Arabidopsis thaliana: one gene and its partners. The protein of the gene in region 4 purifies or fractionates together with the protein of the main gene of each other region. This does not show direct contact. Each region holds a gene or a part of one and is shown on either strand. Other genes may lie near its edges. The genes, in order: RPN1B, EMB2107, PAE1 and AT5G16070.

The links.
Region 1: the proteins of AT5G16070 (region 4) and RPN1B fractionate together in Arabidopsis thaliana (co-fractionation; one large-scale study listed by BioGRID). This does not show direct contact.
Region 2: the proteins of AT5G16070 (region 4) and EMB2107 fractionate together in Arabidopsis thaliana (co-fractionation; one large-scale study listed by BioGRID). This does not show direct contact.
Region 3: the proteins of AT5G16070 (region 4) and PAE1 fractionate together in Arabidopsis thaliana (co-fractionation; one large-scale study listed by BioGRID). This does not show direct contact.

Annotation. Positions count from the first base shown.
Region 1 is NC_003075.7:14,066,047-14,074,950, reverse strand, and holds RPN1B (26S proteasome regulatory subunit S2 1B), read left to right. Parts: upstream 1-2,368; 5' UTR 2,369-2,593; coding exon 2,594-2,710; intron 2,711-3,043; coding exon 3,044-3,144; intron 3,145-3,309; coding exon 3,310-3,430; intron 3,431-3,522; coding exon 3,523-3,582; intron 3,583-3,767; coding exon 3,768-3,878; intron 3,879-4,035; coding exon 4,036-4,101; intron 4,102-4,240; coding exon 4,241-4,362; intron 4,363-4,505; coding exon 4,506-4,620; intron 4,621-4,740; coding exon 4,741-4,815; intron 4,816-4,908; coding exon 4,909-5,067; intron 5,068-5,165; coding exon 5,166-5,273; intron 5,274-5,350; coding exon 5,351-5,452; intron 5,453-5,543; coding exon 5,544-5,684; intron 5,685-5,766; coding exon 5,767-5,871; intron 5,872-5,954; coding exon 5,955-6,176; intron 6,177-6,271; coding exon 6,272-6,385; intron 6,386-6,473; coding exon 6,474-6,689; intron 6,690-6,786; coding exon 6,787-6,846; intron 6,847-6,942; coding exon 6,943-7,056; intron 7,057-7,150; and 9 more. Other genes in the region: AT4G28480 (DNAJ heat shock family protein), read right to left, coding at 1-295, 554-999, 1,477-1,641; AT4G28460 (uncharacterized protein), read right to left, coding at 8,650-8,868. UniProt on the Arabidopsis thaliana protein: Acts as a regulatory subunit of the 26 proteasome which is involved in the ATP-dependent degradation of ubiquitinated proteins.
Region 2 is NC_003076.8:3,088,167-3,095,013, forward strand, and holds EMB2107 (26S proteasome regulatory subunit, putative (RPN5)), read right to left. Parts: upstream 4,430-6,847; 5' UTR 4,269-4,429; coding exon 4,266-4,268; coding exon of another isoform or gene 4,262-4,265; intron 4,174-4,261; coding exon 3,979-4,173; intron 3,405-3,978; coding exon 3,297-3,404; intron 3,210-3,296; coding exon 3,105-3,209; intron 3,021-3,104; coding exon 2,964-3,020; intron 2,871-2,963; coding exon 2,674-2,870; intron 2,303-2,673; coding exon 2,203-2,302; intron 2,116-2,202; coding exon 2,003-2,115; intron 1,899-2,002; coding exon 1,741-1,898; intron 1,669-1,740; coding exon 1,591-1,668; intron 1,515-1,590; coding exon 1,240-1,514; 3' UTR 1,112-1,239; downstream 1-1,111. Other genes in the region: AT5G09890 (Protein kinase family protein), read right to left, coding at 13-96, 229-403, 507-676; AT5G09910 (Ras-related small GTP-binding family protein), read left to right, coding at 5,106-5,199, 5,450-5,541, 5,639-5,780, 5,846-6,150, 6,233-6,286, 6,378-6,505, 6,580-6,766. UniProt on the Arabidopsis thaliana protein: Acts as a regulatory subunit of the 26 proteasome which is involved in the ATP-dependent degradation of ubiquitinated proteins. Required for gametogenesis and sporophyte development. Acts redundantly with RPN5B.
Region 3 is NC_003070.9:20,102,863-20,108,679, reverse strand, and holds PAE1 (20S proteasome alpha subunit E1), read left to right. Parts: upstream 1-2,602; 5' UTR 2,603-2,731; exon of another isoform or gene 2,732-2,819; 5' UTR 2,820-2,887; coding exon 2,888-2,901; intron 2,902-2,995; coding exon 2,996-3,077; intron 3,078-3,297; coding exon 3,298-3,378; intron 3,379-3,556; coding exon 3,557-3,670; intron 3,671-3,755; coding exon 3,756-3,857; intron 3,858-3,970; coding exon 3,971-4,029; intron 4,030-4,121; coding exon 4,122-4,224; intron 4,225-4,320; coding exon 4,321-4,386; intron 4,387-4,456; coding exon 4,457-4,549; 3' UTR 4,550-4,924; downstream 4,925-5,817. Other genes in the region: AT1G53860 (Remorin family protein), read left to right, coding at 42-507, 591-672, 1,291-1,515; PME1 (pectin methylesterase 1), read right to left, coding at 5,222-5,817. UniProt on the Arabidopsis thaliana protein: The proteasome is a multicatalytic proteinase complex which is characterized by its ability to cleave peptides with Arg, Phe, Tyr, Leu, and Glu adjacent to the leaving group at neutral or slightly basic pH.
Region 4 is NC_003076.8:5,245,695-5,252,898, reverse strand, and holds AT5G16070 (TCP-1/cpn60 chaperonin family protein), read left to right. Parts: upstream 1-1,719; 5' UTR 1,720-1,848; coding exon 1,849-1,982; intron 1,983-2,067; coding exon 2,068-2,131; intron 2,132-2,383; coding exon 2,384-2,519; intron 2,520-2,734; coding exon 2,735-2,886; intron 2,887-2,972; coding exon 2,973-3,020; intron 3,021-3,158; coding exon 3,159-3,251; intron 3,252-3,366; coding exon 3,367-3,473; intron 3,474-3,568; coding exon 3,569-3,683; intron 3,684-3,762; coding exon 3,763-3,846; intron 3,847-4,133; coding exon 4,134-4,338; intron 4,339-4,435; coding exon 4,436-4,530; intron 4,531-4,696; coding exon 4,697-4,765; intron 4,766-4,859; coding exon 4,860-4,967; intron 4,968-5,062; coding exon 5,063-5,181; intron 5,182-5,271; coding exon 5,272-5,350; 3' UTR 5,351-5,545; downstream 5,546-7,204. Other genes in the region: CXE17 (carboxyesterase 17), read left to right, coding at 1-366; AT5G16060 (Cytochrome c oxidase biogenesis protein Cmc1-like protein), read right to left, coding at 5,690-5,771, 6,193-6,340, 6,681-6,738. UniProt on the Arabidopsis thaliana protein: Molecular chaperone; assists the folding of proteins upon ATP hydrolysis. Known to play a role, in vitro, in the folding of actin and tubulin.

The DNA of each region.
Region 1 (8,904 bases), on a different chromosome or scaffold from region 4:
ATACTCTGGATGGATCACATTTGTGATCGGGATTGTAAGTGTACGGCCATCAAGGGTCGCTATGTTTGCGGTGTAGCCTGTTAAGGCATCAGCTAGTGAGACTTTCTGTGTGACAATCAGGTCGTTGCCCTCACGGGTAAACACTGGATGGGGTTTCTCGTCAATGATGAAGACTAGATCCGCTGGAATCACACCTGGATGCTCATTGCCTTTCTCTGGGAATGTGATCTTTGTGCCTTTCTTCCACCCGGGTTTCACTCCAATCGTTAGAATCTCTTCCACTTGCATTGCCTTACTGCATTTACCAGAAGACAGATATTAGATATTGTTAAGACAACAACTAGGGTCAGCTCAAATCAACAATTAACCATATGGAAGCTGGGGAATGTTGCAGAATCTAAAAGCTTGAAACTTTGTTTCATATATGTTCATCATACTTGGGACTTGGGAGGTTGTATATTTCTAAAACCATGCTCTAGGTTGACTAGTAGATAAGCCTAATAACAAAATGTTATAAGTGTGATCGAAATGGTATCTGAGTTCAATCACTTACCCGCTGACATCTACAATCTCCCTGGAGATCTTCATCTTCTTGGTGGTTCCTTTGTAGAGATCTTCAAGGCTACAAGGCAACTTGTTCTCGATAGGAGCCACTTTCCTAGCTGCAGCGTGATGATGATGATGGTGATGATGATGCATAGCTCCTCCTCCACCTGCTCCTTCACCAAACGAGGCATACATATCATCACCAAACATGCGGCTAGCGAATCTCTGCCCTCCAGTGCCACCACCACCGCCACCAAACGGGGTCGAGAACCCGAAAAACTCAGCGAATATATCATCTGCACTTCTCGGGTTGAATCTGAAAGACGAAGATCCATCTCCTGTTGAGAAGTAGGATGCTCCACTAGTAGCAGCATTGGGAGGTGGCACATTCCCTTTTAACCCTTCCTCACCGTATTGATCATATACAGCTCTCTTTTGAGGATCGCTAAGAACCTAATCATCTCACAACAAAAACCAACATTAGCCTCATAAAAGCCTGAGTCAAATCAAACAATCTTAGTATGTTCCTCATAATCCTAAGCTACACATTGACAAGTACAGAGTGCCTAAGAGGTTCTCAATAATCAATCACAGAGTTAAGAAAACGGATAAATCATGACTCAGAAGATCAGCAAAGAAAGCACAAATTAAGAGCTTTGGAGATAACCTAGCTTGCCCAAATATAAAGCAATCATCTTTTACTATATACTATGATTCGAATTACTCAGGGACACGAAATCTAAAAACCCCACGAACCAACACAACATCAAATCGTGAAATCAGACTAATTGCATCTCATATCAAAAATCAGAAACAAGTTCGTGACCACCGACAGTATCAAGGGAATGAAAATTTCTCAATAGAAATAAAAATCAAAACTTTAGGGACGATTTCAATAAAGCAAAAGCAGTGGAGGAATCAAACACATACATCGTAGGCCTCAGAGATCTGCTTGAACTTAGCCTCAGCGTCTTTTTTGTTGTTAGGGTTCTTATCAGGATGCCATTTCATAGCGAGTTTTCTATAAGCTTTCTTAAGGTCATCGTCGTTAGCGCTTCTATCAACCTGTAAAACCTTGTAATAATCAACTCCCATCTCACCTTCTTCTTCTTTGTCTTCTCTCTTTCGTTTCTTCACTTTTCCTGAATTCGATTAAACAAAAAAAAGGAATTGGTAATTTCTGGATTTCTTGTTCGTCTCAGGTCTCTTCTTCTTCTTTGGCTTAGTATATCTCGTGGAAGGTTCGAGAAAACACGATCTTTGTTTGTCTCCGTTGACGGGGAGGTGACGGTGTTTTAAATCACAGCTTTGCCATCTTGCCTCTTCCCTTCTCCATTTCTTTTCCTTTTCTTCTTTTATTATCGCTCAAGTAATTCAGATTCTCCCATTTATATTATTAATTATAAAAACAATTAAATGTTATTTCCTCTTTCATTATGTGAAGGTATATGTTTGAGTTCGACTAATATTGCTAACTTTACCATAAAAGAACATGTCGACTAAGACATGTAACGTATTTATATAAATGTTGCTATTATTATGTTGTTCGAATTTAAATCCGATCGAATTAGTTGCTTCGAATTTAAATTGATCAAATGTAAATCCGATAAAATAGATGTTTTTGGAGTCCTTTATTTTGTGATTGGCTATATCGCCCAAATAAAATAAATTTTAAAGTGTTGATTATATATAGAGATGTTTGCCAAAGACAAGGTGTTTTATATAGAGACCATAGTAGAATACTATGGCCCAATGAATAGCCCAATTTATTATGGGCTGAGCCCACAATGGAATTCTTGATCGAGGGGTAATCTTCTTCCGTATAAGTACTTTTTTTTATCTGATAGTATTTATTTTTTACAGTTGAACCTTTTTGCTACAGTTCCTGAAGAAAAGCATAGTTCTTCTCTAACGAGCCATTCCAGAGAGACTTAGGGTTTACGCGAGAGCTCATAAGATAGAAGCTGCTCGATTCTTCCGAGTTTTACGAATTTCGATACTCATTGTTTGGATTCGTTGATTTGATCAGGTGATAGTCTGACTTACAATGGCTCCAGTTCCGGATCCGAACAGTGTTGGCGGTGGTGCGAAGCGGGACGAAGCTACGACGAAGATTCCTTCTAAGGATTCCAAGAAGAAAGATGATAAAAAGGAAGAGGATCTGGTGAGTTTTCTTTATATCGATTTCGATTATTAGTTGGAATCGTGCTTAGCTGAGTTAGAAAGAATCCAGGGAGATCGGAAAAAACTCACGATTAAGCTGTAGATTTTCCGAGATGTACGGTTTAGCTGATATATTGTGAATGTCGCATTGCTATTTAGAAAGCGAGGTTAAGAAGTTGGTTAAATCCACATTATAACTCGTTCTGGGAAGATACAATTCTTGTTAGGGTTTAAGTCACATGGAGTTAAATTAATAGGAATCTTTTGTACTATGGCTATGGTTTTAGCTGGTTTGATTGGCAGCTGACTCAATTTGCATATGATGTTATTGTAGTCTGAAGAGGACTTGCAACTAAAGCAGAATCTGGAGCTCTATGTTGAGAGAGTTCAGGACCCCAATCCTGAGTTACAGAAGATTGCTCTTGAAAGCATGAGGTAGTTTTTGTATCTCTTAAACCCATCCTTGATTTGATTAGATGCAAATATTCTGATAATTTTCTATTGGAGTTTCTTTAATGGGCTTATGACACTTCTTTTGCTGCTTTTAGTGCTTTCACTGTTTTCATAGTCTAATCTTGATCGATCTCTTTTGGTATGTAGGAAGGAAATTCGTGACTCAACAAGCTCCATGACATCAGTTCCAAAACCCCTCAAGTTTCTCCGCCCTCATTATGGAGTTCTTAAAGAATTTCATGCAAAAATGGCAGAGTCTGATCTCAAAGTACGATTTCAAACATTTTAAGTCATTTCTCATCAACACCGTCTTAGTCGTTCTACTGAGTCTGGATTATAAGATCGCACTCGTTTTTGCAGAAAATGTTGGCTGATATACTTTCTGTCCTGGCACTGACCATGTCTGCTGAAGGTGAAAGGGTATGCTTTCTTGCTACTGTTGTAGGAGTTTCTTGCCTATTGCTATTTGCTTCACATTCATTTAACTAGATTCCCTTTTGTTTTCCTCTTATGATATGCCTTACCAGATTTGTGTTTTGTGGTTCTTGGTAGAATTTGACTTAAGCTATTTGTTGCTGATCCTTTGTTATGCAATACTCTTTCAGGAAAGCTTAAACTATAGGTTGAATGGATCAGAGAGTGACATCGGATCGTGGGGTCACGAGTATGTCAGGAATTTGGCTGGAGAGATTGCAAAAGAGTATACAATACGTCAGGTTAGTAAACAATTTGGTCTTTGGCAATGTTCTTTAGCTCGAGGAGTTTCACTCATATTCTGGCAACGTCATGGATATTATGGTTTGTTAATGAATATTATGACAATGGGCTCGTTACTGAATATGGTTATAATGCTCATTCTTTTTGTTATATCAGGGTGAAGAGTCCTCTATTGAAGACTTAATGGATCTTGTGCAGCAAATTGTTTCTTTTCACATGAAGGTGAGATCCTTGTCATTCTTACTTTTCTTGTAATAACAAGGGGTCCATTGTATATTAATATAAGTTTCATTGATAGGCGTGAAATTTGCGCCTCTTGTTTTGTTCACATTTTTGAAGGATTCCCTTTTGTTCTTTGCAGCATAATGCCGAAACCGAAGCTGTTGACCTTTTAATGGATGTTGAGGATCTTGATCTCTTACTTGAGCATGTTGACAATACAAATTTCAGGAGGACGTGCAACTATCTCACGAGTGCAGCAAAGTAATTTCAATATGTTTAGCTTATTCATTCGACTGGCGTTTCACCCTTAATTATGTTATTTTCATATGAGACAAGCTCTCATGAGCTTTGCTTGGTTATCTTGCACATTATCAGTCCCGTTGATATTGTATGTTTTTTTCCAGGTATCTTCCAGGACCAGATGACATGTTGGTTCTAGATATTGCTTACATGATCTACATTAAGTTTGCAGAATATCCAAACGCGCTGCAAATTGCATTATTTCTTGATAACATGCAGGTATGGTTCTAATCTTCATATAAAACTTAATATCCTCTTTCTGCAACATGGGAGCAGCTGGGAAAAGCTCTTCTTTAACTTATGTATTTTTCTTATGATATATATTTTTCCTTTGTGCAGTATGTGAAGCAAGTATTTACCTCATGTACCGATCTGGTAAAAAAGAAACAGTTCTGCTACATGATTGCACGTCATGTAAGTTCTTAATAATTTAAATTAGCATAAAGGTGCAGTACCTGATTTTTTATTTTCTTATATTTATTTTTCTCTTGTTATTTCTCCATGCAGGGTATGACCTTTGAGCTTGACCAAGAGATGGTTGCAAATGACGAAGACAAAGAAGCGCTACAGGATATTGTTAACAACTCTAAGTTGAGTGAAGGATATCTGACGCTTGCTAGGGATATTGAGGTCATGGAGGCCAAGACGCCTGAAGACATCTACAAGGTATATCAGTTTAATTGAATATTATGTCTGTTACTGGTTTATTTGGTTACAGGATATGTTTATGGAAGTGCCTCTTACCTGTCCACTGAAATTTGCAGGCTCACTTGCTTGATGGTAGGGCTAGCTCTGGTCCAAGTGTGGACTCAGCTAGGCAAAATCTATCTGCGACTTTTGTGAATGCATTTGTAAATGCTGGATTCGGCCAGGTATGATTACAGGATCTTAATGTGCAACATAAGAAGAACTTTGGAAGCTGCCCTTTTCATATATTTCCTTATTGCAGGACAAATTAATGACAGTACCATCTGACTCAACCAGTGGATCGGCTGGAAACTGGCTCTTCAAAAATAAAGAACATGGAAAGACCAGTGCAGTTGCTAGTCTGGTATACCTCATCTTACTTGATAAATTGATTAGCTATGTTTTTATTTTGGAAGTAAAATTGTAACACGAACTTGTTTTAACAACAATTCTAGGGTATGATTCAATTGTGGGATGTGGAGACCGGACTAGGTCATCTCGACAAATATTTCCATAGTAACGATAATCCCGTCGTTGCTGGAGCTCTGCTGGGAGTTGGGATTGTTAATTGTGGCATTAAGAATGATTGTGACCCTGTGAGTTTTTTTTTTTTTTTAATATGGGAACCTCTGTGTCACAATTTTTCGCCATTCATTCTCACTCAGCTCTCTTTCTCAGGCATTTGCCCTTCTTTCAGGTTATATTGACAATGAGGATTCATCTGTCCGAATTGGTGCTATTATGGGTCTCGGGATTGCATATGCGGGTTCCCAAAATGATCAGGTGAATACATGTTATCTTCTTACCTATGGTGCTAAGTTGAATGTTCTGTTGACGAGACAATAACATGCTCACTGTTTGGATAGATAAAAATCAGGTTGTCTCCAATACTAAATGATGCCAACGCACCTCTCGATGTGATTGCATTTGCTGCACTTAGTTTGGGGATGATTTATGTTGGTTCGTGTAACGAAGAGGTTGCACAATCTATTATATTTGCTTTGATGGATCGGAGCGAGGCAGAGCTGGGTGAAGCCCTCACTCGTTTCTTGCCTCTTGGACTTGGTCTTTTGTACCTTGGCAAACAGGTGGGCAGCCAGTCATACTTGATTATTTTTCTTGTTCGTGTACTTGATCGTTATTTCCCCGATTATTAGTTTTAACTTGTTCCAATATCGAGCAGGAAAGTGTGGAGGCTACTGCAGAAGTTTCAAAGACGTTCAATGAGAAAATCAGAAAGTATTGTGATATGACACTTCTTTCATGTGCATATGCTGGAACCGGGAATGTCCTTAAGGTATCTGATCAAGTGTGCTAGTGGTTGAATTAGATTATTCACTTCTTTCTAGTTTAGTCTGACTCTTCAAACTATTCAAACTATTCAGGTCCAAGACCTTCTGGCTCAGTGTGGAGAGCATCTGGTGAAAGGTGATATCCACCAGGGTCCAGCTGTGATTGGATTAGCTATGGTTGCTATGTCTGAGGAATTGGGTCTGGATATGGAGATCCGTTCTTTGGAGCGCGTACTACAGTATGGAGAGCAGAACATTCGACGTGCAGTGCCTTTGGCTCTTGGTCTCCTATGTATATCAAACCCAAAGGTGAGTATTATTTTTGCATATCTAGTTTTCGGCGGCGTGCAGTTACTTTTCTGCTTAAGAATACTGTTGTTACTCTCTAACTTTTTTATAATTCCAGGTGACTGTTATGGACACTTTGAGCAGACTAAGCCATGACACAGATTCAGAAGTTGCAATGGTGAGTTATCTTTTCGCCACTCATGGTTGAGGTAGAGTAGTTATTTCTTTGACTTGCTATGCAGCGTTGGACTGATGTTTCATCTGATTCCTACAGGCAGCAATTATCTCCCTTGGATTGATAGGCGCTGGAACCAACAATGCAAGGATAGCTGGCATGCTTAGAAATCTCTCCAGCTATTATTACAAGGATGCCAGCCTTCTTTTCTGTGTAACGTTTTATGATTTCTTTTTAAGTTTTCATGGAATAAACACGGTTTCTACTTATGATAGGCTTGTTCTCATTGTCTTAAGTCACAATGCAGGTGCGCATCGCTCAAGGGTTTGTGCATATGGGAAAGGGTCTCTTAACTCTCAATCCTTTCCACTCCGAACGGCTCTTGCTATCGCCGTAAGTTATAACATATATTTTATGTATACTTTGCTTTCAAAGCTCCACCTTGTGAATCCTAAACTTGGGTGTTGTATTTTGTACCTAGAACCGCACTTGCTGGTATAGTGACATTGTTGCATGCATGCCTTGACATGAAATCCATTATACTGGGGAAATATCACTATGTGCTCTACTTCCTTGTTTTGGCGATGCAGGTGAGTGCAATTTTCTGTCTGATGACTTTTTTTTTAATGAACTAAGTTTATCTACTAACACAATACGGTTTGAGTGTGTAGCCAAGGATGATGCTGACGGTGGATCAGAGCCTGAAGCCCATCTCGGTGCCAGTGCGGGTAGGACAAGCGGTTGATGTGGTTGGACAGGCAGGCCGACCTAAGACAATCACTGGGTTCCAAACGCACTCAACACCTGTTCTCCTTGCTGCTGGGGAGAGAGCTGAACTCGCAACCGAGAAGTATGTTGTTCCTCTAATCCCCTTGTTACATTATCCTACTCGAAATAAAACTCTGTTTTACATATTGGAATCTAAAAAAACTCTGCTTCTTTTTGGGTCACAGGTACATTCCGTTGTCGCCCATATTAGAAGGTTTCGTCATATTGAAGGAAAATCCAGACTACAGAGAGGAGTAAATCCAAAGTTGCAAGCATTTGAAGAAAGAGAGAGAGCCTTTGAATACTTTCACTACGGTTGTCAAAAGTTTTTTAGTTTATTCCCGTCTGTTCCCAGGAAATGGTTCACAATCTCTCCTTTTAAAAGAAAAAATAGCTTCATTGCAATATATAGGAACTTCTTGTGCACTACTTTAATATCGCATTCTAAAAGCTGGATAAGTTTCCAAATCCAATTCTCTTAACCTGCAACTCCTTCAAATCAACTCGTTCGACGTTTCTATAAACTTGGCTTATTGATTATGGGCTCTTTGGTTTGCTGCCCTGGAACTTCAAGTTCTTGGTTTGTACGCACTCCAACTTCAATTTGTGACATGCAAAGGCTCCTCTCGTTGTTTCCGGATTTGGCCAAAACTATGTAATATTATTAAAATGTTGAAAGGGTGACCCAGCTAGCCCGGCTACATATTTACAATTTTACATAGATGGCGTGCACGACTCACTTGTTTCCTCGGTGTATCTTTTTTTTTTTTTTTTGAATAAGTTCGTTCCCAAACATAAACCAGAAGTATAAAATCTTATTAAAATTAGCAACCAGCAAAAGCAAAAATCATGTACATGTATATTGAGGGTTTTAGTTTCTGTCACTAACTATATGAACTTTGCCTAAAGAAAAAAAAAACAAATAATGAAATAAATGAATGGAATACAGTTTTCACCGTTTGTTCTGGTATACATATGGGGTATATCGAGATTAATTAATCTCCTCCGGCCAGGAAAAAAAAAGTAAAAAAGGAAAATTTAATGGCCGCGACCTCTTGGACTTGGACCCGACGCCAAACGCTGAAACCAAGAATCCACCGTCGATTTCATCTTCTCCACCGTCATAGTCGCACTTCCATCTCCCGATTTTTCAGTAAGAACCCTCCCCGCCGCAGCCGGAACCACCACGTGTTCTACGAAAAACAACGACACCATCACAACCACAATCAAAACAGTAGACCAACTAACTCTTCTCATCGTATTTTACTTTCTCTTCTTTATGTTGTACCGACA
Region 2 (6,847 bases), 2.2 Mb from region 4:
GGATTTTTGTACCTGTCCACGGCTAAGCATCTCAGTTTTTTTCAATTTCTTCATGGCATAAACTTCAGATGTAGATCTCAAACGACATAATCTAACCTGAAAACACAATTTCAGAGATTACAAGATATCCTGAAGAGTAATCGATTCCTTAAGTAGTCAATTTCTAGAGAAACGCATAGATCTCTGTATAAACAAGCTCGATTTAGGAAATAGAATGTGATATTGTACCTCACCAAAGGCACCTTTGCCAATAACGGTCAAAAGCTCAAAATCATCAATCCCAATTTTACGTCTCTGAAGTCTCATATACTCAGTTTCACGACGAGCCAGATTCCTCATCATCTCGTCTTGTTCCTCAACAGGTAACTGAGCTTCTTGCACTTTCCTCTGAAACTCCCTGCGTCTGTAATTTTCAAAAAAAATCTCAAGTCAAACACAAGTCATCTTTCGAAATGAAGCAAAGACCAGATCAGATTTGAAAACAAACAAAAATCCCGAATCCAAACCTCTCCATTCGTTCGTGCAAGCCTTGCAAGTAATTCTTATAATGATTCTCGATGAATTGCTTAGCTGCAGCAGCTTTCTGACGTGTCACTGGCGACGAAACCGCAACATCCGTCTCCGTTTCGAATCCGCGACCAGGCTTGACGCGAACGGTTCCATCGGCGCCGTCCATAATCTTCAAGCAGAGATCGTAACAATACAAGTAAGAGAGAGAGAAAGAGAGAGAGATTTTTAGAGAGCCATGGAAATTAAAAAGGAAGTAATCGAGGAGAGATCTAAGGAGCTGTCACGGTGTTGGTGAAATCCCAAAGACGCCAGAACGTGGACTATTTACCAGAGATGAACTGGCAAAGCTGTCTCCTCTCTATTAAATTTAATCACATTAATTAACAACAATAAACAAATTTTATTAGTTTTTTTTAGAGTATGGAAGACTATACATGTGCCAGTGCCATCATAATTTTAGTTTTTATTATTAACTTGCAATCTTTGATGAAGCAATTTTTTATCGTCTGACTTTTTGTCAGCGCAAGGTTTGGATCTATCTCCTGGGGCACACACGAGATTATTCTTCTCGTTCAGTAAATTCATGTAAATTTTCTAACAATTTAACCAAAAACTAATCCACCAACACTTGAAATAACCAATAAGTGGCAAAACACTTCGTTAGTGTACAGATCCATAGTACAATTTTTAAAAGGAAACACTGATTCGAGTTTTTACCACATAAAGATGCTAATAACTCAACGAAGAAGATCCTGAAAAGTTTTCATGAAGAAGACCGCATGTTTTCAAGGTCTGAGAGCGGCTTTGTGAACCATGGTTTCCTTGTGAATTTGGTGGCAACTCTTTTCCACAAGATCTAGAAGCTTCTCCAAATTCCCTGCCCACGAGTTTAGAATCTCGTTGCTGTCCTTTGCGATCTGGAAGCACACAATTCCAGATGGTCTGTCTATTTTTGCAATCAGTGCTTTTGACACTACCATCTCCGATAGATGCTTCTCCGCCTCCTGAAATCACAATTTCCAACAATTATAACAAGCAGAAGCATAGTTGATATAGCCAGTGAGATTAGATCAAACATACCTCCATGCTCAGGCATAAAAGCTCGGCAAGTCTCTTTAAGGTTATCCTTGCGTAGTACTTTGAGACAACGAGGATATTCTGCAGAATAAATTAATAACTTTAAAGCATCAATCAACTTATGTAAACAAGCTTAAAGACAAATTGAGAGACTTACATGTTCGATGATTCTCAGTTTCAGATCTTCACCAGCTTTGTCACCCAAAGAACCTCCAATCATGCTTTTCTCTTTCTCGAACTCATCCTTGTATTTGTTCCACAGAGATGTCCATTGAATAACCTCCATTGTCACTACCTGTTTTAGAAGCATCCTGAAACGGGTGATATCAAACAAAGAAAAAAAGACTGAGAACCCATTTGAGTACAAAAGAATCAGTTATTGAAATAACAAAATTTATCAGAAAATAAAATATACTTGAAATCAGGGATTTCTGATAAATTCTTGTCTTCCAGAGTTGCATTGAGCAAGCTTGATTGCATTGGGTCATGAGGTGCCAAGACCAAGAACCAGCAGATCTTCCTCAGGACCTAATGTTTTGAAGATCAAAGAAAGTTATTACACTAACCCTATAGAATGTATACTAACTATACATCCAATCAACGGCATGAGCTTACCGGAATCCACTGCTCCGGAGTTTCTTTTACTGAAGGGATATCATATATCGCCTTGTAGCTACGGCAGATTTCAATGTACTCATTGTTATGAGAATAGTACCTACATAGTTGAAATTTTTTATGGTTAATAATAAAAAAGATGAGAATGCCACAGAAATCAATCATGGTACGTCAGAATTCAGTGGATAACATAATGCAATTGATGTCCAAAATCGTTGGCCATGAAAAGAGAGTCATAAATTTGACACAAAAGGAGATTCATCCAAATTTCGATACTGTCCTCCAGGAAAAAGTTGTAATATGCATCTCTGAGAAAACCATAGCAAGCAAAAGCCACACAGATTGATAGAATTTAAGAGACAGAGAGAGAGGTCCATAATTAAACAGTCATATAAGAATTTAAAATGCCATGATAAATGATGGAAATACAAATCACGAACAATGTGATAGAGAAGCTCAAGAAGGCCGTACCGAATCATAAGCTCGTAGTAAATTCGCTTAAGCTCCAAAAGGGTTGGTATATCAGCAGGAGCCTCTTCTACCATGTTATCACCTTCCTTAGGTTTCTTCTTATCTTTTTTTGTATCTGCGTCAAAAACTCTAGGATTGATCTTCCTAGATAAGATTTGTGCACGAACAAAATCTTGACGATCCAAGCACAAGCGAACCTTTAAAGTTTGACCACAATAGTTTGATAGTTATCACAATGAAAGAAAACACCAGCAAATTATTAATTGCAACGTAACTACACAAGTCCTTACTTGTTCAAGGATAAATGCAATTTTCTCAGTTTTTGCCATAGCACCAAATGTCTCCACCTGTTAATTATTTATCAAATTGCAGGGGTTAACAAGGGAAGAAAATTTCCAGGAGATTTAATAGCCAAATGCACAAAATCTTACAGCAACTTCTTGCATAAGATCTGCAGCTTCAGCTATCTGACCCTGTTCTTCCTTAATCTTAGCAAGTTTCTTGGTGAGACGTGCCCTCTCGATTTCAACATATATCTATACATGTAAAATGCAATGGTAAACAATTACACAGAATGATGAAGTTATTATAAAGAATACACCATCAGTTTCATAGTTTCGCACCTTTCCAGCAGATACATTGTTCAGCGTCTTGATAAGCTCTATCCGAGTTTCAATGTCTGGTGTCTGATCGATATACTGCATTGCTTGCTGCACCATGGATTGCACAGCCTGCAAGTGGAGAAGTTCACAAAAAAAAAATCAGTGATGTTGACTTATCACTTTGTATCCTTACTTTTAACTATAATTTTGTACATGGAAAGGTGAAGCTAATTCTGTCTGAAGTAACTAGACCAAGAAAACACGCAAAGCAAAAGTAAAACCAACGAAACACTGAAAATCAAACTAAGTTAAGTAATAAACTGAACTAAATACAAACATCACTATCTGCAATGACCCAATTTAGCTTTAATATTTGAGTCAACAGTGAATCTATCAAAATCATAGAGAGGAATCGTAAAAGCAACCTATCACAGGACAACATCCCACAAAAAGAAGCTTGTATCCAACACAAAGTCGAATCCTCCTGAATTTGTGCTAATGTCCTTAATCTCTTTCCAAGATTAGGGTTACCAAAAACTAGGCCTATGCAATTCCTAAGTCAAATGTGGAACAAATCACATTCAAAACTCAAACAAAATATCCAACTTAAACAAATCCTTCAAATTATCCCAAACCAAAAGTTCATGTTCCTTAAGAGCTTAAACCACAAACACTGATAGGATATAACCAAAATTCCAAGTACCTGTTTGAGCTGACCACGTTTCTTAGAGAGATTGAGAATCTGCTCATTCAGAAGTTTCCAATCCTTAGCATCGAAACAAAGCTGAAGAATCTCAGTGGCGGCTTTCCTTGTACCGGCTACGTTTTCGGCGAGTCTCATCTGCTTCTCTTCATTCAGAAGCCGATCTATCGTTGCCTCAAGCTTCCCGCTGTCTCCCTGAAATACAAACTATGACGGAATGAGAAGATGCAAAAATTTCGAAAACGAGAAAAAAACTTAATATCAGATCTGAGTAATTGAAGACTCGCCATCGTGAGAAATCCAACGAGAATCAACTCAAAGTAGTTGAAATTCTGGTGACGGAACGACGAAGCTTTAAACTATGGAGAAAGAGGAGACGGACGAGAGAGATGAGAGAGCTTTTGGGAGTAGCTGAGCACAGATAATTCGCAGAGTTCCCAACCCCTTGAACAAGAAATCTCAGATTCTTCGGCCGATGGATCTTTTTACATGGGCTGCTAATGGGCCATTAACTAATTGTTTTGAGTCAATCAGGTTTGGTATGTAATACCGGTCTAGTTATATGGTATGGTGTTGGTTCAGAAGTATCGAACCGATCCCATTGATTGAACAAACTCACGTCGTTCGTTCTTCCGCCCAAATCTCATGATATCTTCGAATTTTCGTAGCGAAACCAGAGATTCTATAATGTCGATCGAGAACTCCCTGTCTCGAGATTCAATGGTTTACCTTGATTACTGGAAAGATCTTTTCTGAATTTTTTTCATCGAGGAGAAGAACGTTAAGGAGGAAGAAGGTGAATCTTACTTCTGTGAAACTCTTATTACGCTCTTAGAATTCGAATATTGATCCTCTTACATATTCCTTAGATTCGCTGCTTACCTCCATCAATTGTGTTAACTTCGGTATTGGTTTCGATTTGTGCTCTAGAGATTATTTGCACTAGGAAGGTGAAGGAACTGTAGCCGAGACTCTGTTTTGCAATGTGCAAGGTGATGGATTAGAATAATCTGCTTACAGCTAGGAATCAGAGTTTCGAAATGATGATTTCTGGAAGCTTCTCTTTTGGTCGAAGACGCGACTATGGGACTTAATTTCGCAGTGCCGATTTTGCTGGAGTAATCAAAATGCGGTTTTGGAGGGAACGTGGCAGGGAAAATAAGGAACATATGGTAGCGCCATTATGCGGCCAAATTCGAGTATTGGTGGTTGGTGATTCAGGTAATATTAACAAATTCTCGTTTCCATAGATTTGGTAATGGTTCTAGCTTTTTAAGTAGCCATTTAATGGAACTAAAGAAAGTTTGTCGTAGTGCACAAACTCATCCTTAAAGAAGGAGCTAATGAGAAGATTTCTCATGATGATTGGATATGAGTTTCTACTTGTGGAACCTAATAAGAGTCAAGTTTCGTAAGTCTACTACATCTTCTCCACTATTGAGCAAAGTTTTATCTCTGGATATCAAATTAGGTGTGGGAAAATCATCTCTTGTGCATCTCATTGTCAAAGGCTCCTCTATTGTTCGCCCATCTCAAACTATTGGATGTACAGTTGGTGTCAAGGTAACTTAAGCTGTTCTATAAAAAAAATTCTCGATATGGTTAAAGAGAGCATGGGATAAGTTTCCCTACTTAGTTTCTGGAACTCTCTTTGGTGCAGCACTTAACTTACGCAAGTCCTGCTAGTTCTTCAAGTATCATTAAAGGTGACTCAGAGAGAGATTTCTTCGTCGAACTTTGGGATGTTTCAGGTCATGAACGATACAAAGATTGCCGCTCACTGTTCTATTCACAAATCAATGGTCTGTCTCAACAAATGTCATCTCTGTCCCTGTTTTGTCACTGATGCGACTGTTTGATTATGCAGGAGTTATTTTTGTTCATGATCTTTCGCAAAGGACTACAAAAACTAATTTGCAGAAATGGGCGGGTGAAGTTTCAGTAACTGGGGAGTTTTCAGCTCCCCTTTCTTCTGGTGGGCCTGGTGGTCTTCCCGTCCCATACATCGTTATTGGAAACAAAGCTGATATTGCTGCCAAAGGAGGAACAAATGGAAGCAGTGGCAATCTTGTTGATGCAGCTCGTCATTGGGTTGAGAAGCAGGGTCTGCTTCCCCATAGTGATGAACTTCCTCTCTCTGAGAGCTTCCCTAGCAATGTTGGTCTCATAATGGTAACCACAGACTAAATTACTTGCTTTATTTGAATTTAGTGTTATGCGGTATGTCATATAATTTTGGTAAAATTATGCACAGGCTGCCAAGGAAGCTAGATATGACAAAGAAGCTCTGACCAAAATTTTCCATATGGTTGGTGTCATTTCTGACCTTGCCATGTTTTACAATAGCTCTCTCCCTCTCTCTCTTTCTCTTCAACCTAATGAACGTTTTTCGTTTTCAGTTGATAAGAAGAAGATATTTCTCAGACGAACTACCGTCGCCTTCTTCAGCATGGTCTCTTTCCCATGCACCTTCCCAGCGGTTAGATGAGGGCACAAGTGATGAAGATCAGTTCTATAAAAGAACAAGGTATATATATTTATCATCCTAAAAAAAATCGGATTTCTTTTCTTTATCGGGTTTTGGTCTTTTGAATTTTGCAGCCTAAGGGAAGGAGATGCTTACAAATATAACACATTACCGCAACACAATCTCATGCAGTCTCCTACACTCTATCCGCAGCAACCACCTGACCGTTACAATTACGCTATTCCGAGATTCTCTCTTTCCAGTGTAGAGGAAACCAGCAATGGTAATGGCAGGTCTAAGCGGATGGATATTAACGTCTGAAAGTAAAACACAGATCAAATCTCACATTATTTTCCTGTAATCTTCCAAACATTATCTTCTTTTATTTGTCAACACTCCAAA
Region 3 (5,817 bases), on a different chromosome or scaffold from region 4:
TTTGATCATTTTGATGAATTGAAAGTTCTGTGTTCTTTTAGATAAGTTAGCAAACGAAGTTCCTCAGATTCTTCCATCAACGGAAGGGTTTATATTCAAAGATTCCGACAAGTTTCTCCGGTACGAGGAAGCTCAAGTTCAACACAGAGACATGGGAACAGAGATGACACCAATAGGAAGTGTAACGACTTCAAGATGTCACACGCCGTTTAAAAGTTCCTCTCCAGCGAGACACAACACGCCTTCTCAATTGTCTGGTCCGTTAACGGAAACCAAAAACGTTATAGATATATCCGAGTTCGAAGACAAGCTTAGACTCAGTGGGTCATCAACGAGTCAGTATTGTTACTCGGTGACGAGTCATTGGAACTCGAGAGAAGAAGAAGAAGAAGAGATATCGAAGAGTTTAAGACATTTCGATATGGAGAGTGAGTTAAGGAGAAGTGTGTCTGAATCTAAAGCTCCTTTATGGGATGATGAAGACGACAAGATCAAGTTTTGTCAAAGGTCTGAACTTAAAATCTTGACGATGGTGAAAAAAAAAATCTTGATGAAATTATGAAAATTGAAAAGTTGAATTTTTTTTGAAGGTATCAAAGAGAAGAGGCCAAAATTCAAGCATGGGTTAATCTTGAAAACGCTAAAGCCGAAGCTCAATCTAGAAAGCTTGAGGTATGTGTATGTGTATACGTATATTTTGTTGAGATATACGGTGTAGAAATACGGATTTTGTTATGTTCTAACGGAATTGTGGAGCCACGCGCCAATATTAGAGTAATGTTCGGAGTCCTTTACTTAGTTTCATTGACTAGTCTTTGTTGCTTTATTAGGCAAAAGTCTTTGAGTTTCTAATTTTAAAATTGGGATGACATCTTTGTAGCCTGTACTTGTAATTTGTGCAAGTCCCATGTGAAAAGATTGATTTACTCTCTTGGGAAATTGGAGTCTTAGATTAAATTATCAATCATCTATCATCTAGCTACATAATTTGGATTAAACTTTAAAAATAAATGTAGCTATATTGAAATGATTAATTTTCAAGAATTAATGTCTGCGATTTTGGTGGTTATGTAGTAGCTACATGATAGTCGTACTTGTAATTTGTGCAAGTCCCATGTGAAAAAATTAGTAATTTCCTCTCTTGAGAATTTGGAGACTAAAATTTAATTATTAACTATTAATCATAATTATCTAGCTATATAATCATAATTAATAGTCCATAAATGTAGTTGAGTGATGAAGTTTTAAATAATTAATGTGTGATATTTGGGGTGGTAATTATTGTTGTAGGTGAAAATACAGAAGATGAGATCAAATTTAGAGGAGAAATTAATGAAGAGAATGGATATGGTGCACCGGAGAGCAGAAGATTGGAGAGCTACGGCGAGGCAGCAACATGTTGAGCAGATGCAGAAAGCGGCCGAGACGGCGAGGAAATTGACAAACCGCCGAGGCTATTTGGTTACCGGCCGTAGCTCATGTGGTTGTCTACCTTGCAATAATACTTGTCATTAACTCAGTCAAAGTAAAAGAGAGTAAAATACACATAAACAAACACAAGAAATTACTGTTTATGTGTTTCAATTATCAACATGTATGTTCGTTTATTGTTTATGCAAGAAAGTAAAAAGCCGATATGGAATAACGAATCGCAAAACTTCTTTTCAAAAAAACGGATTTTTTTCTGTAAATTAATTTGCAGAATTAAACGAAAAAAAGTTGAACATAGAATTGTAATTTTGTGCGTTGAACTTGAGTGGTATAAAATAAGTGTACTAGAACTTTTTTTTTCTTTCATCTGAAACTTGTTTTGGAACCATGGTGAAATACAAATTTCAAACAAGGGAAGCTAAGCCGATGGACGAAAGAAAAGTCATCGGAAACTAAAGTCGACGTACGAGAGAAAAGTCCTTGAAAACTAAAGCTGGAGGAAAACGTAAATTTTTTGGAGTCTAAAACCCTATAAAGGGGAAACATGAACACATTACAAAACAGAAATTTTAAAGCCTAAATCGAAAGAGATCGAAACCAAAACCTAAACATAAGTGTACTAGAACAAATCACTAGAATATATAAGTTTTTTTTTTTTTTTTGGAGTTCTAAAATTGGTAGGAAAAAACACAAACACTAGTGAAGACTATTTCCATTAATATATATAAGGAGTTTTGTTCTTGTTGTCTTTTAGTAACGAAATTCGAATAGTTGTTATCATGCAAAAGTGTTTAGAGAAATAAGAGAGACTGACCAAAGACAAACTTTTGCGTCTGGAAGGAGAAGAAGTCTCGCAACAAGTCACAGCTTTTCATCGTTCCCATACTTTTACGAGACAACACTCTTTCAATTATTTTGTACTTTTCTGTTTGGTTTTATTCACTAAAACTAATTATTTCTAAAAAAAACATTTATTTGTGTACAGCAAAAAAATAATAACCTGGACTGCCAATTTTTGTCTTTTTCTTTTATTGTTACACTTAACTTCTGACATTGAGATAAATTGGAACATGTTCAAATTCCAGTCAGTTCTATAGCTGTCTCATAATTTTTCAAAAATACAAAGAAAGGCCTAATTGGGTGACCCAGGCTTAATATAGTTAGGCCCATGAAAGCCCATTATAAAAAACGCTGCGTTTAGAAACAATCTAACTTGTTCTTCAAGAAGAAGTGCGTCTTTGAAAGCTAAAAAGAGAGCAAAAGCTTCTGTTTATTCTCCGATTCGCAGATCAATTAGCTGGTTTGATTCTATACTCTCAACAAGTTCATTGTGATGATTTTTATTTTCTCTGAATCTCTGGATTAACTCAGATCCGTTGTTTTTCTAGGGTTTTGATTCCGTTGTGCGAAGGACTTTAAGAGGTTTTGCAGATCGAAATCGGAAGAGAAGAAGAAGATGTTTCTCACTAGGTATCTCTATCTACTTCTGGGTTCATTGAAATTTTCTTCCTTTACTTCAATCGTTTGTTTTGCTTATGGTGGTTTCTGATTTTGTTGTGCGAAGAACTGAGTATGACAGAGGAGTGAACACTTTTTCTCCAGAAGGAAGGCTATTTCAAGTGGAATATGCCATTGAAGCTATCAAGGTAACTTTTCGATTCCTCAATTTGTTAGTTTCCTATGGAAATCGAGAAATTTTGAAGAAAGGGTAATGGTTGATTTACGGTTTTCTTTGATTGCTTTAGCTTATTTGCACAAGTTCTAGCTCACATTTCCTTGTTTAATCGATGTAGTTTGCATTTCAAATTTGTAAAAGGGATTGTTGAATTTTGTTGAGACTCTGATGAGTGTTGAATTTTGTTGCAGCTTGGTTCTACTGCAATTGGAGTAAAGACAAAAGAAGGAGTTGTGCTTGCTGTCGAGAAGCGTATCACGTCGCCATTGCTGGTTTGCTTGCTAACTTTGAATTCTATGTTTTTCAGAATTTTTCTTGTGATTCACTATTTTGGAACAATTTGAATTGAATCTGATGATATGATCAAGCAGAAGCATATAAGCTTTCTATGTTAGTTATGGTGATATTAGCTTTCTCAGTATATGTTAAATGCTTTTTCTTTTTCCCCAGGAACCGAGCAGTGTGGAGAAGATTATGGAAATTGATGACCATATTGGTTGTGCTATGAGCGGTTTAATTGCTGACGCGCGCACACTTGTTGAGCATGCTAGAGTTGAAACTCAAGTAAGGTTTCTGTCTCTAGGGTCTTTTCTTTTAGCTTCAACAGGTCTTTTATGTGTTATTGACGGCTTCTTTTGCTCTTGTACAGAACCATAGATTCTCGTATGGTGAGCCGATGACTGTAGAGTCCACAACACAAGCACTGTGTGATCTGGCTTTACGGTTTGGTGAAGGAGAGGAAGAATCAATGGTAATAATCAAAATTGGAATTACTGATTAGAACAAAACCTTGATAAGTTGGATATCCATATTTAGTCGTTGTATTGTGTGTACTGATTCTCTTTGTCATTAATGTGACTACAGTCTCGGCCGTTTGGAGTATCTCTTCTCATTGCTGGCCATGATGAAAATGGACCAAGCTTGTAAGTTCTCCTTCAGTTGGATTTCTTCTACTGAAATGGTTCACTTGTGTAAGTTAGTTTATCTTCTTGTAAATGACTCTGTCTTGTTACAGGTACTACACTGATCCTTCAGGAACATTCTGGCAGTGCAATGCAAAGGCAATTGGTTCAGGTTCTGAAGGAGCTGATAGCTCTCTTCAAGAGCAATTCAACAAAGTAACTTGAACTTTTTCCCAATTGTTTTTCAATAAATTATTTGATTACATCACTTTATTTGCCATTAAAACCTTTAGTTTCATTAACTTGTTGCAGGATTTGTCTCTACAAGAAGCTGAGACTATCGCTGTATCTATCCTAAAGCAAGTTATGGAAGAAAAGGTACAAATTTTACAATCCAAAACTGTAAACAGAAGTTCTTGCTCAATCTAATTGTATTGGTTGGTGATAGGTGACTCCAAATAACGTGGATATTGCCAAGGTAGCACCAGCTTATCATCTCTACACTCCACAAGAAGTCGAAGCAGTCATCGCTCGTCTTTGATTGAAAAAACTCAATTTGGGTAATTTACCTATCAGCTTGTGTCACAAAACTTGTTACTTTTGTCTGTTAGATTGAGGATCATGTCACATTTTAGTCGGTTGTGTAAGAGAATCTTTTGGCTCCCATGTCATTCAATAACCTTTCGGATTTGTGACTTATAAAATTTCCTTTCCTACCACTTACGTTTTGTTACTTGCTCTTCGACTTGGCTTTGTCCTGACTATATGGATAGATTTATTCTGGCTTGCTCCACAAGTTAATCTTGTTTATTCTGGTTTTGTTTAGTGTGGATAGATTAGTATTGAGTTAGATTTTTGTTTAGGAGCCGGCTCCTAATTAATCGCCATCAGATAATTAGATTTTTATCGGATTTATGATCATCCCGTTTGTTAGTAACATCGTCGACAATGTCCCGATGACAAGGATATGAAGGTGAGTAATGGTTAGTAACAGTATCATCGTTGTGTTATAATTCGAGTTCAAGGTGTGAGCTACAAAAAGCGAGTAGCTTTGATAGTTCTACATCAAGAAGATATCGTATTAGGGGATACACAAAATACAACTATGTTGGAAAAAATTACAGATCATGCATAAGTGTCAAACAAATATAAAGTAGATCACAACCGGATGTTTTCAAAAACAAGCTACGAATCCAATTGTATTGTCACTATATTAAGATAGCTGATTGATCACTCCTGTTGCCGGTATCCAATCAGCTCCGTGTAAAAGCGTAGCCACTGTAAACTTCGCAGCCTCGGCGTCCGACATAACCGGTTTATATCCAGCCCATTTAACTCTCTGCGTTACATCTGAACCCGGGCCCGTATTCTTATACTCTCCGTAGACAATACTTGCTGGTGGATCAACTCCAGAAACCCATGACATCCACCCGGACGGTCGAACCACTGCTCCAATCACCGTCTCCATAATAACCGTCGTGGAAAACTCCTTCCACGGCCGGCCAAGATACGTGGGAGCAATCACATTGCCGTTTGCGGAGATAGTGCATCGTTGAATCGACATCCCCGAGCTTTGGTTCGGATCTTTTTTGCCCTGAGCGGTTATGGTGTTGAATTGGTTAGAAAGAGGCTGGCGAGGCATGATTTTGCAGCCTTGGAAAACGACCGCAGCACTTCCGAAAATGAAGTCGATTGTCCCAGTAACGTCGCAGTCACGGTAGAATTGGCGGTTGGAGTGAGGGTAAAGAGTGTCTTGAAAACCATCGAATGAGCATTGGTAATAGACTGAGAAATCAGAGCCTGATCGGA
Region 4 (7,204 bases):
AGAACGTCTTCGGAGAAACAACAACATCACACCAAGTCATCGGCGCTTACTCTTTCAGCTTCCGACGCATATTGGCGTCTAGCTCTGCCACGTGGAGCGAGTAGAGACCATCCATGGTGTAACCCTCTGATGAGCTCGGCGGGAGCGAAGTTACCGACGACGATGGTGTTCATGGCGGAGTTTGATATACTAAAAGAACGAAACTTGGAGATGTGTAAAGTGATGAGAAGCCATGGGAAGAGAGTTGAAGGTATAGTTCATGGAGGTGTTGGTCACGCTTTTCATATTCTCGACAACTCGTCGGTGTCACGTGATCGAATCCACGACATGATGTGTCGTCTTCACAACTTCATACATCCATCATAATAATTCCCTAAAGACCTTTTTCTGAAACCTTTAATTGATTTAAAATGTTGTTCTTGAAAAATAATAAGAGATAAAAACTTGAAATGTTGTGTTTTTATTGTGGATTAAAGTAAGCTTTGCTTTGTAGTGTTTTTTCAGTGAAGGTGAATAGTATAAATTATGTAATACAATAGATGGACTTGTACTTTTAAGTTAAGTTATGTATCCAATGCTTGAATATAATCTTAGCTTGACCACTGTAATTTTATTTCCTATTTTGTTTATGAGAAAGATAGTTTTTTTTTTCTTTTACTAAAAAAATTTATTTTGAAAAGAGTTGGAAATTAGAATCTACCTTTTGTTTTCTAGCACTTCAATAATTTTTCTCATAGTTGACTTTGATAAATTTGCCTTCGTGACAGAGACCATACAACTATAAAATGTTGTAGTGGATAAAAAATGTACTATTTCATTACAGTTTTTAAAATAATAAAGGTCAGCCATCAAGATATATAAATCTTGTACTACTTACTCAATCTTTTGCTTAAAATCTTTGAGTGTAAGCTATTTTCACTGTAATATTTAACTATGTATCTAGATATTGCTTATTTATCCACGAGGTTAGGTTTTTGTACATTTCACACGATTTTTTTTTTTGGAATCGAGTCAAAAAAAGGAATTGACTCAAGTAATGTATGGTCATAAACTCCCAAATACATAAAAGAAGACGATATTTATTCTTCTTTTCTTTTCCTCCACTTTTTGACGGGGCTTTCTTCATATGGATTGTTCGGTACGAATCACTATTGATAACAAGGAAATAAAAAAGTTGGTATCAAGATCTGTAACTTAAATTCGATACGTGTGTGTGTGTATACCAAGTTGTTAATGGTCCAAAACACAAACCATTTTACCATCACTATCCCCAACCCGTTTTTATTTTAGTTCTGTTGGGCCATATATTACACATTGACTAGAATTTTGATTCCAATAATAGATTATTCAGCTAACGCAATGGTTCATCTGAAAATTGTTTTAAGCATAGTCAAATCAGCCAGTTGCTAACGAACGAATTTGTTTTTAATCCTAAATAGACTACAAAACTAAATGATCAAATCAATCAAATTTTGAAATACCATTACTCTTACTAAGTATTAATTAAAAAAACTAATTTTAGGTCTAAATTTATATTACGTTTATAATTAAATTTCTTTCTTCAAATGATGATCGGAATAATATTGCAGAATGTTGGAGAATATATGATTTTTAGAGAATCAATTAATATATGGCTAAAAATGTAAAACATATTATAATCTGGGTAAATTTTGTAATTTCAGGTTAATATTAAAGTCTCTAGAGCGACTAGAGTCTCTCAACATCGGCTTCACTTTTAAAACCCAGAAGAAAGCCCTAAAGCTCTCTCCCTCTCTCTCGCTCGCTCTCTAGTTCAGTCTCAAGTTATTCTCTTCGTGTCCTGAATCTGTGCACCAAAGGTTATCGAAAATGTCAGTGCGAGTTCTGAATCCTAATGCCGAGGTTCTCAACAAATCTGCGGCGCTTCATATGACCATCAACGCCGCCAAGGGTTTGCAAGATGTACTCAAGTCGAATCTCGGTCCTAAAGGAACAATCAAAATGTATTTTATCCTCTTGATTTAATCTGATCTATGTATATACTGTTCATTATCTTCAAATTCCTCATGTGCTTCTCACTCGATGCAGGCTTGTTGGTGGTTCTGGGGATATTAAGCTTACCAAAGATGGGAACACGCTATTGAAGGAAATGGTGAGTTTGATCTTTTAAAATCAATCTAGATCGTATTGATCTGTTAGAATCGAGCTCTGTTTTGGCTTTTTAGTGTTGAAGGGTGCTCAGAAGCCCGTGAATTGTGTCATTTAGTACTACGCTAGATAAGATAGACGAAAGGATTAAGATACTGCCGGATAATCTTTGGTGTTGATATGGGCTACTGGTATGCTCCTTTACAAGTTATCTTGGTTCGATGATGCTTACACTCTGATTTCTTAACTGTTGCAGCAAATTCAGAATCCAACAGCCATTATGATTGCGAGGACAGCTGTTGCACAGGATGATATAAGTGGTGATGGTACTACTTCCACTGTTATCTTCATTGGTGAGCTTATGAAACAGTCTGAACGCTGCATCGATGAAGGTAAGTCGCTAATTGTTTGCTGAGAGTTCGTTAGTTTTATACTCCTATATGCTTGTTTTTATTTTATTTCTCAATCTATGTGTTATTAGTGGGGACCAACTATTTGTATTCAGCGACATTGATTTGCCAAGTTTTGTTTATATTGGGTATAGAAAATGCACAACTGGTATCTAGTTTTGTAGCCAGAATCCTAATGAAGGTTTATACTGTATCAGGTATGCATCCACGAGTCCTAGTTGATGGTTTCGAGATTGCTAAGAGAGCTACTCTTCAATTTCTTGACAACTTCAAGACCCCTGTTGTTATGGGTGATGAAGTTGATAAAGAGATCCTAAAAATGGTTGCAAGAACGACACTAAGAACAAAAGTATTCTTCATTTTATGATTATCTTTCTTTTCATTTGATTTTTCTTTTCGTTTTCTAATTTCGATTTACTCTTGTGGATTGTGTAGTTGTACGAAGGCTTAGCTGATCAACTGACTGACATTGTCGTCAATTCGGTGAGTTAACTGTTCTCTAATGGAATCTCACTTATTCTTTTCATTTTTTTTGTTCACACAGATGAGGACTCATCTATGCACCAATATTGGTTTTCGAGCTTGTTTGTCTTCTAATTATCTACTTTCCTCACATTACAGGTTCTTTGCATCCGAAAGCCTGAGGAAGCTATTGATCTGTTTATGGTGGAAATAATGCACATGCGTCACAAATTCGATGTTGACACACGATTGGTATGTCTTGACTTAATTTATTGTAAAATAGTTCCCTCATTATAGGTTTATATATGAAATACTTGCCGGTTTATAGTATGGACCTGTTGGAAACACTGACTTAATTCTGAATTAGGTTGAGGGGCTTGTTCTGGATCATGGTTCGAGACACCCTGACATGAAACGACGCGCAGAAAATTGCCACATCTTAACTTGCAATGTGTCACTAGAGTATGAGAAGAGGTGTGTAATATAATTCTTTGGTCAATTTGGCGAAGAGAAAGTAAAGGCCTGGATGTTTCTGGTGATGTGGACTAATATTTCTATTTATCTATCAGTGAAATCAATGCAGGATTTTTCTACTCTAATGCGGAGCAGAGGGAAGCCATGGTTACCGCAGAGAGGCGATCTGTTGATGAAAGAGTTAAGAAAATAATTGAGCTGAAGAAGAAGGTGGGACTGCGACCATTTCTCCAAGTTTTATTTTAAAACCCTGTAAAAAATACTAATACATGTTTTATTTCTTGTGCAGGTGTGTGGTGATAATGACAACTTTGTTGTCATAAATCAGAAGGGTATTGACCCACCATCATTGGATCTTCTTGCTAGAGAAGGGGTAAGCTACTTCTGTGTTTTCTTGCATTTAAACTTATGTTACAAATCGCTGAAATTGTGATATTTAGGAACAAGAAGAAAGATACTAGGGAAGAATGTGTTATTAAGTGAATTGAAATTGCCAGTAATATTAAAAGAGTAGTTCCTTCGATATACAATAATCCATGGAGACGATTGGCAGCATTAGTTTTTAGTTCTGGGACACTGACTGAGCTTGTCTATTCTTTTGTACCTAATTTCTCTTGTTTAGAAGCTGTTGAATCTAATTACCTTTCCTCATGTGTCCAGATTATTGGTCTTAGAAGAGCAAAGAGGAGGAACATGGAACGTTTAGTTTTGGCCTGTGGTGGAGAAGCTGTGAATTCTGTTGACGACTTGACCCCTGAGTCTCTTGGATGGGCTGGACTTGTCTATGAGCACGTTCTTGGGGAGGAAAAGTACACCTTTGTGGAGCAAGTGAAGAATCCTAATTCATGTACCATCCTCATAAAAGGTATTAGGACGACTTTTATGTCTTCATTAAGTTTTGATGGTTCATTTGTTCTTTTAGTAGTTTTAGTGTTCATTCATGAATTTCTTGGGTTTTGTAGGGCCTAATGATCACACTATTGCCCAAATTAAGGACGCTGTTCGTGATGGTCTGAGATCGGTCAAGAACACCATAGAAGACGAGTGTGTTGTGTTAGTAAGTACCTTATATATCTTGAAGTTTTTTTGTTAACATTGCTTTATGTTTCTCCGCAATATCAAAGAAATTGTTAATTCGTGATCAAAACCCTGGGTAAGGTTAGCATATAGACCTATTGTATATGTTTTGCGTTATGTTAATGTGTGGTTGCATGTTTCTGTAGGGAGCAGGAGCTTTTGAAGTTGCAGCAAGGCAACACTTACTCAATGAAGTCAAGAAAACCGTTCAAGGGGTAAGTTGATTTCTTCACTCGTACTCTAATTCTCGCAACATTACTTAATGCATCCCAATATTCTAAATTGCTAATACTATCATGAACATTGCAGCGTGCCCAACTTGGCGTTGAAGCTTTTGCTAATGCCCTTCTCGTGGTGCCTAAGACACTTGCAGAAAATGCAGGTCTTGATACCCAAGATGTGATCATTTCTCTTACGGTATGCATTCATCTCTCTTATCATCTTCTGCAAACTGAAATCAATTGTTGAAGGAACAAAGAATTAGAATTGCTCATTGTGATGCGCTTATGCAGAGCGAGCATGACAAAGGGAACGTTGTGGGACTGAACCTTCAGGACGGTGAACCTATTGACCCGCAGCTTGCTGGTATTTTTGATAATTACTCAGTGAAACGCCAACTTATCAATTCAGGGTAATGTTCGACCCAACTAGTCAATTCTAATAAAAGCTTTGGGTTTCGGTTGAAACCATTTCAATAACCGGCTATTTGTTTGTGTTGCAGGCCAGTGATTGCGTCGCAATTACTTTTGGTGGACGAAGTGATTCGTGCAGGCAGAAATATGAGGAAGCCTACTGCTTGAAGTCCTTTGCTTTTAACTTGGTTTCTAATTTGTAAGCACCTCAAATTTTGTTTCTTGGTGTAAATCCTGAATATTGTGAAACATATGTTTTTTTTTTCTTTTTGGCAATGAAAAACATATTTGAATCTGATCTTTAGATGTAGTGGATCTTTTGCAAAATGATAAAAAATAGTAATACAAAATCTATTTGAATCTGATCTCTAGATTTAGTGAATACACCCATATTTAAGAAAGGCCACAGTTTATTTATAAAAAAGGATATATTTTGGTTCGCAATGAACAAGAAACAAAGCGAGGACATTATATTGGTCGTACTCAAATCTTTTGTTCAACAAACATCTATATGGCCGAGGCTGAGACTTTACCCTCTTCTTGAACCATATACGCTCTCTTCATTTCCTCCAAGACATTGTCATTGGTGCTGCAGAATCAACAAAATAGTTTCATGGTTAGACAACATTTAAGCATCGGCCCAACAAGGGAGACGTTCATTAGGGAGTCACATAAAAAGAACTTGTGCACCAAGAACAAGACTGTGCTACACCGATATAGAAGATAGTTATTACTTCTCTTTTATCGCAGTATCAAAGAATCATCAATCATCCCCTTCTATAAGCTTATATTTGGTTACATATATATACTAGCACTGGTACGTCATGATAACGTTATGCATCTCCTAACCACAAGTTGTCTCATTTCATCATATCAGACTTACCAGTGAAGGGTATTAAGAAAGAATAATCAAAATCAGATGCCCCCATACACAACAAATCTTTATACGTAACAGTGAAAAAAAGATGACACCTCTAATGGAAGGAGCACTAAAAACTCGAAAAACTTACAATTGATGGAGGCAAGTGTTGAGCTCCCTAGCTTGCTTACGACATGTCCATACCACAGAAAAAGTTCTTCCTGTTGCGCATTGAGCATACTTGGAGACGTACTGATCACATTCCATTAATGCCTTTGCCTTCATCTTGCTACGCAGCGCTAATAACAAAGTATATACATAATCAATCAAACAACCATTTAACAAAAAAAAACCATCACCATTTCAACTTCAACACAATCTATAAGCTCAATTCATAGAAGCAATTTGACACACTCAATGAGAGCTTGCTAGATCAGATGCAAAATATGGAGTTACTACCAAGGGTTTATGAGAACCCTAATCCTCAATCTAGCAAAAGAATCTGCGTCTATGATAAGAAACCAGGCTTAAATAGTATCGATATGGTTGATCTCATTTTCGAGGCAATAAAAAAACCATTTGGGGGTTTAGGGTTTTAAAACATAGCGAGATGAAGAAGTCACGACATTGTCAAATTACCTTCTTCGACCTTCTTCTTCACGTGATTTTCACGAGCTTGCTCCACATAGCTACCCATTGACGACGGACCTTCGAGCTTTTCCGGCCTTCTCCGATCAATTCGATCAAAAGGGCAAAGGGGACTAGAAATGGGTTCAGGGCAAAGGGTAAATCCGTCATTTACCCCAAGGAAACTTAACTTATATTGCCATTTTGCCCCCTTAATATTTTTGTATTATATGAATGACCTTATTAACTTATGATTCGTCACATTTCACCCACTTCAATTTAAAATTATGGACGAGAATTAAGTCCTTTGACGGTCAACAGATTAGCACGTGTCGTATTTTAATTGGGTCGTTGCCCCTCTCTCTCTCTTTACTCTTTTCCCATTTAATGGTCACGAGACCGTCTCCCCCAAATTTCTCACTTCCCCTAATTTCGCTTCGAATTCAAAAGCCCTAATTCGAAAATTCCCATTTCTCAAGGTACGGTTCCGATCTTCCTTGCTCATACTTCGACAATGTTTTTTCTGCTTCTCGTTT